Oreochromis niloticus: one gene and its partner. The protein of the gene in region 1 purifies or fractionates together with the protein of each later gene. This does not show direct contact. Links are inferred from orthologs where the notes say so. Each region holds a gene or a part of one and is shown on either strand. Other genes may lie near its edges.

Evidence for each region. The genes of interacting proteins can lie anywhere in the genome.
Region 2: the proteins of ptp4a2b (region 1) and cnnm2b purify together in Homo sapiens (affinity purification with mass spectrometry; 4 studies listed by BioGRID and IntAct, counting the BioPlex papers as one, with this or other methods). This does not show direct contact. The link is inferred for Oreochromis niloticus from reciprocal best matches to the Homo sapiens genes PTP4A2 and CNNM2.

The regions. Positions count from the first base shown.
Region 1 is NC_031985.2:25,785,883-25,793,853, reverse strand, and holds the start of ptp4a2b (protein tyrosine phosphatase type IVA 2), read right to left. Parts: upstream 3,033-7,971; 5' UTR 2,875-3,032; intron 2,732-2,874; exon of another isoform or gene 2,601-2,731; intron 1,655-2,600; exon of another isoform or gene 1,506-1,654; intron 1,455-1,505; exon of another isoform or gene 1,436-1,454; intron 373-1,435; exon of another isoform or gene 295-372; intron 1-294. Other genes in the region: col8a2 (collagen alpha-2(VIII) chain), read right to left, coding at 7,324-7,971.
Region 2 is NC_031971.2:33,163,111-33,170,463, forward strand, and holds the start of cnnm2b (metal transporter CNNM2), read left to right. Parts: upstream 1-4,293; 5' UTR 4,294-4,637; coding exon 4,638-6,123; intron 6,124-7,353. Other genes in the region: as3mt (arsenite methyltransferase), read left to right, coding at 1-27, 119-188, 301-382, 460-591, 1,261-1,400, 1,487-1,609, 2,458-2,565.

The DNA of each region.
Region 1 (7,971 bases):
AGAAGCACTCACAGGGTGGGGGGTGCAAGTAAAAACACACACACACAAAAACACCTAGGCAATGGGCAAACACAGAAGGTTTGTTGTCTAGACCACCAATGCTTCAAAAATAGCACTGTTTCTAAAATCTGAGAAAGCAAGCACCTACACGCAGCTGCTCAAACAACAATAACACATATTACTATTGCATGTTCTGGCAGAGAACTCTGTGTTCCCCTGTTAACTGCAGCTCTGACAGCTGTAGCTAAACAAGGCAGGTGTAAACACAAAAAACAAGGAAGATCCTATTCCTACCTGTTGCTATAGTTTCAGCGGGAACCCCTGCAACAGCAATCTAGGAGAGGTGTCAATCTGTGAAACGCTGCCAGTGCCACTGAGCCTGCGCCTTTGCTTTATCCCAACACTGTGGCAACAACAGTAAACACTGTGCCGATCACTGCATGATTCATTAATCCACACACTTTGCAATAAACGAGCCTCTCACAAAAAGGTGCCCACTAATGCGTAACTACATATGGGCTTCACTTAATAGCTTTGAAAAGAGGTAGCACAAACAGTGGCCAACTAATCTTAGCTTGCCACTTTATACCAATTTCAAAACAACTTCTACTGAAGCCAGGAGCGAGCCCATTGTAAAACCAAAAACCTCTGGAGAGTAGCTAAATTTTAAAATCTGTTAAAGCAGTCAGTATGGAATGGCCTCCTCTGCTCTACCTTTCAACACTCAGTCCCCCCCGTGGCTTGATGGGCTGAAAGCCAGCAGGCTACAACATAGGTGTTCTTCTCCCCCAGTAACACTCCTTTGTAGGCTGATATCAAGTTACTGCACACTGGGTTCACCTTTCACAGTTACGGTAACCAAGGCTGAGAACTTCCCATCTTGTCACAGGGCAGTTTCTTTTTCTATGCTCCTAGTAGGCATAAATTTGCAACCAACCAGCGTATTCAGTCTTTACACAACAAGTTTGATTTGGCTGAGAAAATAGCAAAACTCAAATAAGGATAATTCAAGTTTGGCTTAAAAGTTACAGGTAATAGAGGTTTGCCTTGCAGAGTCAGATCACAAAAATGAGTGTCCACCCCAGCAGTACAGGGCTGACTTTAGCTGAGGGATGTGCTATATAAGCAGATTGAGTGAGAGTTGCTATTTCTAGATTGGCCAGAGCATCATGTGTCAATTAGCTACAAAATAAAGCGGGTCATCTGTTCAAATGACCTACTTCCACAAAGAATAAAATGCCAGTGGAGTCTAAAAACTCCAAAGCACTACAATACTGAAGTTGTGAAAGTCTAGCCTTTTATGAAGCAAGAGTATAGACCTTATTGATTACCTCAATTTGATAGTACGATTACATTACTCACTGCAACTTTCTATTATTTCTGTTGTAGTGTGCCAACATTCCCTTAGCTTGTTTTCCTGAACGCAATCACTCACCTCATCCTCTCAACAGGCAAACCAGGTCACCTTGCAGTGACTCATAAGCGGGAATATATAATTAGCTTACCTGTTACACCAGTTACTGATTGACTCATCCGCCCTGTTGGTAGGATGGCTATTCGCGTGTATTAGCCGCCCACTAGAATTTACTACCAGAGGGGAGCCTCAAATCAGTGGAAGGTCATAAATTGAAAACTGAGAGGCATGGGAATGTGCCGCGGCCTTTAGTGTCACAGCTGCTCTAGGCAACTTCCTCCCGAAGTGCATTTCCTCATTTCACTTCAACCCACATGGCTAAATGGCTGGGCGCTTTCTGTTTTAGGAAACCAGACGAGGCTAAATTATAGACCCACCTAACTCCAGTGTTGGCCATTTTTTTCTCTCCTTTTTTCGTTGAAGCCGAGCAAATTTTCCGACTCCAACCAGACAGCCAGCAATAAAGACAAGGAGCACGACAGTCCAGTCCAAAAGGGAACCGCGCCGACAAACATAAGCAGACATGCCATATCGTTTGTCGGTTTAAAAAAAACAAAACAACAACAACCCGTCAGCCTGGCAATTGGCCTTTAGCATATGGGTCAACTATACTGCAGGTCAAGATTTTGTCACAAAGGGCGGAAGGCAGTTGGCTAGCTTAGTCGCCATCTAGTTACCACGCAGCTTTTCACAACTACAAATAACTTAACGCATCTTATACACGTAACATTAGCACTACTAGCCAGGACAATTGTTAACGTTAACACAAGTATTCATTGCCAATATGATACACGTTGTTCAGAAGAAATTCTACGGTAACCTGTACACCCTTGCACCGTATAGCGCTAAGGTAGCGCTAGCACTTGTGGTATTCCGAACGACGGTCAGTTTAGAAAACACCACGTTATGAATACAACTAAACGTATCCTGTTCTAAAAGAAAAATACAAGCCACGACACAGTCGTGTCAGTAGTCCTAATGCTAGTCAGAGATTTTCTTCTTTTGGTTAATAGCCATAGCCGCGATAGCAAGCTAGCGCAGCTACGTTAGCTAGCGGGATAGCTAACGCACTTTGCTTTTAGCAGCAATCTTTTAGACCAGCAGCACGGCAACACTCAAGACAAAGGTAATTAACTCAAGTGTAGATATCACAGATATCTGAGGCAGTGAGAATGAACATTCATACCTTTAACGGGATTTTCAACACTGATTGTAGCACACGATTAAACCGTCTTAAGCTTTGCTCTGCGAGCTACCATTAACGTGGCTACATACTGGACACTCTTCTCGGACGACCCCTCATGCAACTTACTTTGGCTGCCCGGCAGTGTGGCGATCACCTAACATATGGAACTCAACTTTTAAGTGGGCTCTAACGGATCTATAGCGCTAGAATTACATACAATCGAGGCAGAAAGAAGTTCCCAGAGGTTTGCTTAGATCCGTCATTGAGTACTTACAAAGACCAAGCTGAACATTGAAATCCCGTGACTACCCCGGAGAAAGTGGAGGGAGTGCAGAAAGCGCTGTCAGATCGCCTTTTTGTTCCTCTTTAGTGTGGCAGCCTGAGATCTCGTCGGAGGTCGGGAACTGTTGTCGGGGAGGAGCCTCCTCCTCAGTTTGTACAAGACCTTCAGGGACCGTCGGAAATATGTAGACCAGGCAGTGCGAGTTAATAGTCAACAAAATGAGGGCCACCAGAGAAATCTGTAAACCTCGGAAAACTTTAAACGACAGACACGTGTATCCCAGATCATCCTAGCATTTTTTTTTTCTTGTTTGTTTGAGTGTTTCCTTGACACCAATTTAACTATCAGGAAGCGGAAACTGGAATAAATTTCAAGTGACATGCATGTCAACATCTGAAGGGATTAGCTTTAAGATCGTTCCTCACTTTGCTTTAGTGTAGGTAACTTTTCATATATTCTATTACCTCTCTCAATAACAGCACAAGTATGTGCATCAGGTCGTATCTGCGGTCACTGCGCCAGAATTACCGGGATCTCTCGAATGCAGCATGGATGGTCTGACGTCAGTACGACGTAAGAAGAATCCGGTTGACTGATGACAGCTCACCATGGTGACGACAGTTCCAGAAAGTAATAGCACCATATTATCCCTGTACTCATGGGCTGTTTTTTAAAAATAGATTTTACTTTCTTATCTAAGCACATTTTGGATTGGCTACAAGATCCGTTTTGTTTCGAAAGTATAGACTGTTGAATCGCCTCCAGTCACGCATCAGAGTTAGTTTAGTTGTTTTCATTAAAATCCAGCTCATTCATATGTTTGTTTATCCGCACTTAATGTAGTTATCTATCCATCCATTTATGCTCTTCTGCTTATGTGATAACCCATATATTCAACATGCAAAATATTTATGCAAAGATTTATGTTGCTTCCATCTACATCCAGCGAGCTGACCTGAAAAGGAAAAGCCTACCTGTTCCTCTTTTCAATCCTAAACTTACTATCCAATCACCCTTCTGTCTGAGGCCTGAAACGCTGTTTATAATTGTATATCTCCCTCTAGTGTCAGTTCTTTTACATGCAACAGATTGCTCTGCACACGAGCTACTGAATTTTTACCTAGTGTTACTGATTTTTTTTAAAGATGTAGCAGTAGCCTCTGTATTCCAGTTAATATATATTTTCTTTGTTACATAACCATACAATAGAAAGTCAATGAAGTTTCACGCCAGCATACAAGGCATTTTTTTTCTTTGTTTTTATTGACGTGGTATCAATACAATCAAGTACTGTAGATTTTGTATAAGCAGACAAACATTTTCAATCAAAAAGGAGTGCATTTTATACCCAAATTCTATTGCATAGTGCACACAATAGCCTTGTAAGACAAAAAAAAAAAAACCTATACGTTGATACATTGTACATTACACAAATAGAAAATAATACAAATAATCCTTCACAAACAACTCTAGAATGCTAACTACAAGTTGTAAATGCTCTTAACTCATCGATGCTGTTAAATACCATTTATATGTCCCAGGCTTCGGTGGTCAGTTTTGGCATCCCTATTAAATTATCATAAATGTATAAATACATCTTCATTAATTTCATGTGCAAATGGGAATGGCCGTTTGTATACTGAAACTAAAACAAACAAATATCCCTTAAGAACCGAAGCAAGGCTTGTGATTTTTTTTTCTTTTTTTTCTTTTTTTTCTAATAAAGAAAAACAAAACATTTGATGCGGTACATGGATCTCACTGACACTTGTTAAATGATTTGCACACAGAGCAAACTCAGCAAGCAAGTGACATTGTCTATGAAAATATGAGGACAGAGCGTAACAGCCGCATGTAACTCTCATCACCGTTTCACCGTGTGTCGAAAAAGAGGAGGTGATTCAAAAAAATAAAAGGCAACATACAGTACATAACGAGACTGCTTTGTAGACTCACATAGCAACAATGATACATAGCAGTTGTCGGTGTGTTCATGTTATGAGACAGAAAGGGCTAAGAGTAAGTGCATTACATAGATGTAGAAATACTGATTAAGCCTTATCCTCACACTAATTTTCCAAAGCGATGTGAAGAGTTACTGTTTATGCACTGTGACCCACCATAAAACAGTCAAACATTATACATTCATTCTAATGGGAAGGCTAAATGTTTGGCACCATGCTCGTGTACATTGACATTCTTCCATCATGATGTAAGGTAGTCATAATTCAGTGTTTACGAGCGTCAGGGTGGCACAAGTTAGAAGCACCAAGCTTTGTTCTGTTTTGCCTAGGTCTCGTTATCTTTTGTGATTCGTAACTGAAACTAGTGAATAAACATTTTGTACATTTCATAGTATGTCTTTTTTTTCTTTCTTTTTTCTTTTTTTTTGTTGGTTCGTGACTTGGCACAAAGTAGTTATTGCACGCCTTTACACCTTTCATCTTTAGAGTGTTGTAAAGTAAATCTTCTACAAGATTCTCTTTAAAACTAAAAAAAACCTCAAAACCTTCTGGTAGAACATTGATGGGACTGTAAGCCGTTCCTACAGTTTTGTAACTTAATTTTAGTTTATTATTATCCTTGCTAAAGTTTTCGTGACCTGAATGCCAAGGGGACATTGTGACAAATCCGCACACACAAACGCACGCAGTGACACAGTGACGGGCTGAAGGGTATACCTACTAAGCATACAAGTGCACGCATGCACAGAGTGGATCTTTAATACTTCATCCAACAGAAATGAATAAACACACCTCTGACCTACCACCTCTCCCAGAAATCTGGCGTGGTTTTGTTAAAATGTTACACAACCTGCATTTCTCAATCTTCAGGCCCCAGTCAGACCCTTTCACCTATTTATGGACTAAAGACAAATTGATTCTCATTTCCAGCCGTGCACTTTGACATTATCCAGTTCTGAAACATCCTGGCCACAGATGTTACACTAAGCTCAGCAATTAAACAGTTTTTGACACATTTGATTTAGAAATAACTAGAAAATCCTGTCATTCAGAGCTACAAATGATTAAAAATTGCTCTCATTTGCCTAACATCTATCATAAACAACACAGGAACTGGCAGTGAAGGAAGTAATTAAGTTGTTGTTGTTTTTTACTTATCCTTTTGCCTCCTTGTTTTCTCAGCAGAGTCAGGCTTTCAAAATCTTTGTGGATTTTGCATCATGTTGTTAAAGGATTATATTTTCTTCTAATATGGCAGTGCAGATTGCTCCCTTGGAATCAGGGAAAGGGTTTTTAATGACATTAGAAATCAGTGACGTGATGGTTAGAATATGTGAACAGGATGCCTGGGATAGTGATGGGAAAAAAAATCAGATCGATAGAAGGAAATAGGCCATTGAATCAGCAGTATATGTGTCCTTACTGTCCATTTGTCCATGGACAGTAAGGACACTATCTAGTTTCTGGCCTGTGAACACTGACTGTGTACATTATTAACAATGTCCTAAAGAATGATGCTGGGGGGTGATGCGGGGGTCTTGCTTGATGATGCTGATCTCTTTAAAGGGCAATTTAAAGGTGTCTGCCTTGTTAATGTGAGGTCATGTTTATTTGTAGAATTAATTGTTCTGAACTGCACGTAAACTAAATTACAAGAAAGAGGAAGACCTATTATCTGAAATGGTAGGTTACTAAATGCATAATGAAGCAGAGAAACTCCCTGAACAGGTGCTTATGTTCACTATCAATAAATATATCTCACTCTAAAACCAACTGTTGCTGAGTTCAATCCTAACTTTTTTTTTATGTAGCAACAATTTAGAGTCCCAAAAATTTCAGTAAAAGTAAATAGTAACACAGCAGACCAAATACTTAGTTTTGCTATTGTACTGTATGCCTATATTTATTGTGTTGTATTTTGGCTCTTCAGTATAATTATAGCAATTCATGATTTAAATAATACACCAGGGGAACATGACTGCAGCGAAGACCCCCGCCCCCCCCCATCAGAGTTTGGTGATGTCGTCCTTGTGTCAGAGCATGTGGGCAGGTTGTGCAGTCACACGGGAAGGTTTCTAGCACATTACAAAGTAAGGCACTAAATAGTCTGAATCCAATAAACAACAACAACAATGATGACATGGACCAAATAATAACAATAAAATTATGACAATATAATAATTAAAATAAGCTAAAAGCTTAAAAAAACACCAACATAAAACACAACTAAAACACACATTTGAAGGACACTGAAATAAAGAACACAGTATGAATTTCCTTCCCCTGCCTTTAAAAACTCACTTCATTCACAAAGTTTTTGTTTCATTTGTGCTGTTGAGGGCGAGACAGATAAAGACTATGGCAATAATATTGAGTATTTTATGGGTTTTGTGTTTCTATAATGGCTGCAGGTATTTTAGGTTAAGGGCTGCACTGAGGTGCCAATGTAGCAACATCTTTTAAGGAAAAGATAGGGTTATGTGGGACAGAGCAAGAATCCTGAGAAGGAAGAATGGATGTACTCTGTAGAATATAGGCCATTTGCCTGATCTGACGGCATCTGGACCCATACCTGGTCACCCTCCTTCAGCTCTAAGACTGCACTACCAGATGCCTGGTCCATGTAGCCTTTCTTGTATTCATCATATGTGTAAGTGGCTGGTACATTGTTCTTATACAATGCTACCCACAGGCTAGTTCCCTTTACATGCATGTGGTATGCAAAGTAGTATATACCAGATAAAGGAGCAGTGAATATGCCAGTAGAAGAGCTGTAGGCATTTTGCCCATTGTAGAGGGTCCTGTCAAATTTGATTGGCATGCCTGAAGGAGGGAATGGTGTGGTAAGGACAGCTGTGAAGGCTGGTGCCACAGAGGCAGACAATGGAACTTGACTATATGCAGGGCCTTTCCTGTCATCTGGAATTTCTCCCCCATCTAACTTTGAACTCTCTGGCCCTGCGACAACTGTATGGCCATTTCCTGGAGGCCCAGGGGGTCCTGGAGGCCCAGGGGGCCCAGGTATGCCATTAAGTCCAGGGGGGCCTTGTTTCCCTGGAGGACCCTGGGGACCTATAGGACCTTTCTCACCCAACTTGCCCAGCCCTGGAGGCCCTGGAAGTCC
Region 2 (7,353 bases), on another chromosome or scaffold:
GGAAAATGACTCGTTCGATGTTATCATGTAAGGTGTCTTACTAATCCTTATTTGTGTGCAGTTCTAACTTAATATAATCATAGAATAACAGTTTCGAACATCATCTCCTTTTGCTTAGCTCCAACTGTGTAGTGAATCTTTCTCCAGACAAGAGGATGGTACTGACTGAAGCTTACAAAGTACTTAAGGTACACTGCTTCTCATTTTTTTAATATTGTTATTAAATCTTCAATCATAAAGCTATGAGAGCAAAGAAAATATTTACACATTTACATACACTTTCTCATTTTTCCTCATTAGGATGGTGGTGAGCTGTACTTCAGTGACATTTACAGCAATGGAAGACTAACAGAGGAAATTAAAAATCACAAAGTGTTATGGGGTGCGTCTAATTAATATTCTACTGCCATAAATTGACAAGCACCCACCAGAATATCACAGTCGGTTTTATCTTTGCAGGTGAGTGCCTTGCTGGAGCACTCTGGTGGAAGGATCTCCTGCAATTGGCTGAAAAAGTGGGCTTCAGCCCCCCACGGCTGGTTACGGCCAGTGTCATCACTGTTGACAACAAGGAACTGCAGGACATTCTTGGTTTGACAGCTTTTTTACTTGCTTGACTTTTGCATTATTTGCTTGATACAGAATTACACTCAACAGCCACTTTGTTAGGTACATCTGTTCAGCTGCTTTTTAATGCAAATATCTAGTCAGCAAATCACATGAACACAGCTCGGTGCACATAGGCATGTCGACATGGTCATGATGACCTGCTGAAGTTCAAACCAAGTATCAGAATGGGGGGAAAAAGGTCATTTAGGTAACTTTGAATGTGGCGTGGTTGTTAGTGCCAGATAAGCTGGTATGATTATTTCAGAAATTGCTGATCTACTGGGATTTTCCCAAACAGCCATCTTTGGAGTTTACAGAGCTCCGGAAATGAGTAAATATCCAGTGACATTCATGTCAGTTGTACACACAGGCACAATCGACATGAATGATGCTATCAGAGAATCCTTTTGCACAACTACTTAAAGAAGAACATTTTATAGATTAACCCTACAAATAAACAGTACTAAGTTAGCCTGCACTATAATGTCACTGCTGGTTTTCTCCTAACCTATATTTATGTAGCTATAGTTACAACTAATGTAACATTACATGATTCCAAGTTATTTTAGATTTTGAGAGCTGCTAACCTTCGTGTATGACCTGAAATTTATTTATTTATTTTTTAATTTCAATCTGGTGTGTTTAATACAGGCAACTTCAAGTTTGTTTCTGCCACATACCGCTTGTTTAAGGTCCCCAAAGGGAACACCAAGAACTGCAAAGTCATATATAATGGGGGCATGACAGGGGCAGAGGATAGTTTCCAGTTTGACTGTCAGTACACCTTCAAGGTCTGTATATTCTGAATTAGAAGAACGTAATGCTTTCTGCTCACTTAAACTATGCAAATGATTTCAGATTTGGATGTATTTTGTAGGCCAATGAAGTTGTGGAGGTGGATGGAGAGGTGGCCAACATACTGACACATTCCAGATTTGCAGAGGACTTCACTTTTCAGCCACTGGGGGGCCCCACTGGGCCCTGTGGAGTCAAACCTAAGGTCAGTGTTGTGTTTAAATTCTTGGATGTCTCTTTTACACATTAGGGGTCAGTGTGTTTCTGGTATCAATTTGTGTGACACGCCCAGAGGGCAGAGCGCCTCTGTCAAACTGCGCTCACAAACACACATGCATGTGCTTCTGCATGCTGTACATTCTTGGACGTTCACGTACCCCTCAAACATACATACACACATGCACAAGCGCAAGGTCAAGCAGCTGTCTTGGACTCATAACCAGACTGTGGAGTCATGCTGGGGAACCTTGAACAAGAAGGAATGTTCTACACTCAGCTAATAGAATACCATTTTATCAGGGCTTACAATCATTTTATGCACATACACCTCTAACAGCACCGCTTTACATTTTTTTTAAAATGAGTACTCTAACTTGTTAACCACTCATTAAAGATTTTTTCTCTTCTGATATTGGAAATAGAAGTAAATTAAAATGGTAAAGGCTTATCAAAATCCACCTCATTATTAACATTTTGAACTGCCCCCTGAATTGAAGTCTTGTCTGAAAGAGTTTTCTCTAATCACTACAGCAGTGTGCTGATAATAGTAATAAAAAAGCCTTTGGTCTTATTCATGGAAAGAACAGCTGCTTTGAAATTGTGACTTAATGAACAACCAGCAACTGATAAAAGAAGCACAGGGCCATAAAAAGACTTCATCTAGAAGAGCCAGTGTTCTGTTGTAATATACCATAATAGTACCTGGATTTACTTCTTCAATTTTTTGACCTTGCTTACAGTGATTTGGGATGAAACACAAATATTACATGATACATACATGTAACTGGGTGCTTGTTCTTTTAATGCTTCTGCTTGGCTCAATTATTCATACAGGCTGGCATTGAGGACCCTTTTGAGCTGGCCCTGATGTTGGGTGTGCAAGGCCCTGCATCAGCCACTGGGGGATGCTGCAGCACACAGTCTGCTGGCTGCTGCAAGTGATGGTGGGAAGAGCACAAAGAAACAGGCTCAGCTTCCTGCCTACCAATAATGCCTACATGTTTGGTGAACTTCCATTAATTAATTCATTTTAATTAAACATAATCATGTTACTGGTTGATACTGGTTGCTCAAACAACTTCACCTACCCAGTGTATAATGGAGACAACTCAGCTAATCCAGTTTTAGTTTCACTTTGGAACACCCTGCATTGCAATTACACAAAGCCATCATTTGCTTCACATACTGCATGACTATGTGAAGGACATGAGTTCTGCTGATGACTTTAAAATGTTTTATTGTGTAATCAAAGTGTTTGTATTTGAAGTTGCTTAAAGTGCATATGAGCCAATTTAAGGAGCCAGCATATGATTCAGGGCCATAGGAAAAAAAATCTCACATCAAACAATTTTAGTTTGACTTTGTGTCTTATCAGATTGTGGTGGTTCATGTTGGTATCTGCTGCTAACCATTAGTGAGGTGATTGTTAAATTGCACCAACTATTTTTTTTTTTAATGTTTTTAAATTAAGGTTAGGGTGGTTTATTTTGCCATAATGTCAAAAAAAGAGTTAAAATTGGAGAGATATGCTCCCTGCTTCCAGTTTTCACTGGTACTATACAATGGTTTTGACTGAGCTGTTGTTGAATCAAGGGTGATTAGAAGCCACATAACATTTTTGAAGTCTGACACTGGCCCACAGGCCACATGTTGAGTACCTAGGCTATAAATTATCTTGCGCAAACAAGATAACAATATCACTTTGAGGGATTTAAGGGTTCTGCAAGTGCTCCCAGTTAATATTTTATGAAAGGATTCAATATGGTAACAATTCATTAACATAATTATATGGTATAGATAAAAGGAAAACTTTATAGTAAGGTTAAATAAAAATGCAACAAATTTAAAACCTTTTAACAACCATGAGCAGTATTAAGAAGAGCACCTTCTTCATTTGTGCCTCATTTTGTCATATGCCTACTTAGTCTAATTATTTTCTTACCCATAAAACTGACATTGTTTATTCACACAATACTTTTTACTTACCTTAAAACCTGTGTTTTAGTAAATCGGTGCTTAATTATTTTGCAGACTGGCTTTAAGATGTGCTTCAACCAAAGTGTACAAATTATCTCCCGTTATTGTGATGGTTATGTGTTATTTCTGATAAAACACAATAAATAATAATTAACGAAATGACTCTTCTATTTTCATCTTTGCTCCTATGATGTAGTGCATTATTTCCAAAGGTACAAATGCACATTTGTATTTGGGAAAAGCTGTGATTAAGGGCACCAGTTCAAGCCATGGTGGTCAGGATCTCTCATTTTAGTTTCATTTTAAGTTTAAAGGAGGAAAAGATAAATAGGCCAATAAGAAGTAATTGTGTTAAAGAAATTGTTTTTTGTATTACACATCTCAATGACGTACATGTATGTGTGTGTTTTCTGGTTTTGACAACTTTAACCTCTTTAAGTTAGGCAGTCTATGAACATATTACTATCCCCTGTAATACCTATCATTAAAATAAGACATGATATAGATAGTGCTTCGGAGTTTCAGCATGCAGGATGATGCAATGCGATAGCAAAAAACCAAATTAACTTGTCACAACCTATGATAGTCTCTATATAGATAAAACATGTTGTAGTATTTATTTTAGTTAACCTTTAATCTTTGCACATGCCTTTTTTTGACATTTAAACTGCTTATTGTGGTTGTCTTTTCTAGCATGATATGTTTTAAGAAGTCACGAGTAAAGTCCTGTCTCCTAACATGAGGTGCACTTGTTTTGGAATTTGATTCGCCAAGGAGGCTGCGGACGCCCCGCCTCCCGGCCAGCGGAACCTCCCGATTGGTCGTCGCCGTCGCCTGTATCGGGGACACCAGGGGAGGCACGAGTTGGCCCGTAAGCCTGCGCTCGCGAGTCATCAGTGTCGGACACGTAGTGGGAACGAGCAGGTCCTGATGCACAAGTCACGGCAACCCTGGGCGGAGATGAAGGCGGACTCCGACTGGCTCTGATTTTTAAAAGCCCTTTTCATTCAGGAGGTTGGTTGCCAGTTGTTATCAATATGGCAGAACCGTTATCCCAAGCACCCACCGCTGCAAAAATGGCGTCACTTAACCGGGTCCGAGCTTTGGCGATGATTTTCTTAACTGTCACTGGCTGCTGTGTCACCCCGACAAGTGGCAAGGAAGGGTCCGAGGAGACCGTCATCATAGGGCTCCGACTGGAGGACACGGACGACATTTCCTTCATGGATAAGGGCTACCTGCGGGTGAGTGAGCGCTCTCGGGTAAAATTAAGAGTGTACGGGCAGAACATCAACAACGAGACCTGGTCCAAAATTGCTTTCACGGAACATGAGCGGAGCCGGGCGGTTGGGAGCATTGACAGCTCCTCGGGGGATAACCAGAGCCAGGAGGACTCGTCCGGCTTGCATCCCTGTGGTTTTAGGACTTCGGATATAATGATATTGCCCTACATCATCCTGAATCGAAAGACATCCGGTATAGTTGAAATTGAGGTCAAACCTCTGCGAAAGACGGAGAGGAGTAAAACGTATTACCTTTGCATCGCCACCTCGACACCAGCCGTGGCCGGGATGCACGACCCGCGGACGGAGAACACCTGGATCTACCACGATGGGGATGACACCAAAGTGATAGTGGTGGAGGAGAAAAAGTTTCTGCTGCCTTTCTGGCTCCAGGTCATCTTCATCTCCATGTTGCTTTGCCTGTCCGGTATGTTCAGCGGGCTGAACCTGGGGCTCATGGCTCTGGACCCCATGGAGCTCCAGATAGTCCAGAACTGCGGCACGGAAAGGGAGAAGAATTACGCCAAAAAAATAGAGCCGGTCAGGAGCCAAGGGAATTATTTGCTGTGCTCTCTTCTGCTCGGGAACGTGTTAGTGAACACCACGCTAACCATCTTGCTGGATGATATCGCCGGTTCGGGCTTGATTGCTGTTGTCATGTCCACCATCGGTATAGTCATTTTTGGGGAAATCGTGCCACAGGCCATCTGCTCCAGGCACGGCCTCGCTGTGGGAGCCAACACCATATTCCTCACCAAGTTCTTCATGCTGCTTACCTTCCCTGCGTCCTACCCAGTCAGTAAGCTGTTGGACTACCTGCTCGGACAGGAGATAGGAACCGTGTACAACAGAGAGAAGCTTCTGGAGATGCTGCGCGTTACGGACCCCTACAACGATCTGGTGAAAGAGGAGCTGAACATCATCCAGGGCGCGCTGGAGCTCAGGACTAAGACTGTAGAGGACGTGATGACGCCGCTGAGGGATTGCTTCATGATTCCTGGGGATGCAACGCTGGACTTCAATACCATGTCCGAGATCATGAAGAGCGGCTACACGCGCATCCCCGTTTTCGAGGGCGAGAGGTCCAATATAGTGGATCTGCTCTTCGTCAAGGACCTGGCCTTCGTGGACCCGGATGATTGCACTCCGCTCAAAACCATCACAAAGTTTTACAGCCACCCGTTGCATTTTGTGTTCAATGACACCAAGCTTGACGCAATGCTGGAGGAGTTTAAAAAAGGTAAGAGTTTTGCATCAACCTTTGACACCTGGAATGTGTTAAAGGTTGATGTCTGTTCTAGGCTGGTCTTTCACATGACCACCCTCTTTGTTGGATAAGGCAAGGTAGATACATGAGTTATGTAATAGTTTATGATGCAAGGAGTCACAGTTTTGACCTTTCAACACTGAGTGCATGTGGTGTATCTATAGGTCAAATGTCTAAAATCAGATATTGAGCAATAAAAAGAAGGAATTCCTCAATAAATTTCTTGTACTGGAGGGAAAAGAGATGGGGGAGGATAGCAGCAAAGGTTCTTTTCCCCTCAGACAACACTGAATCTGCCACAGGTGTAGTTGCCAGATCTTCACAGGTCACTTCCTGTAAAGCGGAGAAGCAGGTGTCCTTATCATTCTCCATCACTTCCATTAAGTGTTAATGTTCACACTCTCTCTCTCCTCCTGCTTTTCCTCCTCATGCCTTGCCCTCCTCCTATTCAACCTTTTTCACACTTTCCCCTTCCTTTCATCTCTCCCTCTCTCTCATTTGTAAATGCATTAGGACATGTGGGAATAGTGCAACGGCAGTGCTGAGGTTATCAGGTGGGGGCATCTTGTTTGAGAACCTGCTTAAATCCCTGTCTGCCTCTCATGCGCTTGCTTCAGAGTGATGGTGGCGATAACTCTTTTTTTTTTGTCCAATCCTGGAATGCAGTCGTGTGGATAATGAATAACAGCCTCTAACACCCTCAAGCCCCCCATGTGCTGTGTGTATTTGTATGCGCATGGTGTTTGAGAAAGATGTTTACCTCACCCACGGTTTATCTGATGTTTTGCATAGCCAACCCCCTAACTGTTGTTGCTTCTGACTAAGTTATTCCTGGAAAGTGTTTGTAGATTTGGTGCTGGACTGGACTGATGCATACACAGACACACCTGTCAGCAGCTGATTTACGAACTCTTAAAACTGTGGGGAAAAAAACATGACTGTTGTGCGCTTATTAGAATATTTGCTTTATTTTAAGAGGATTAATTGGGAGGAAAAACAGAACAAATCAGCAAGCTCCATTACCAGAAATTAGGTGTAGTTCCTCTGCCAAATTAGCATTACATAATATACTATTTGGGGAGGGGGGTGTTTGTTTATTTATTTTCATCACAGCTGACTAGTCACGGACATGCACCAGTTTTCCGAGTAAACAGAGAAAGTTCACCATCCTGTTATATTATCAGAATACTAAGATCAGCAAAT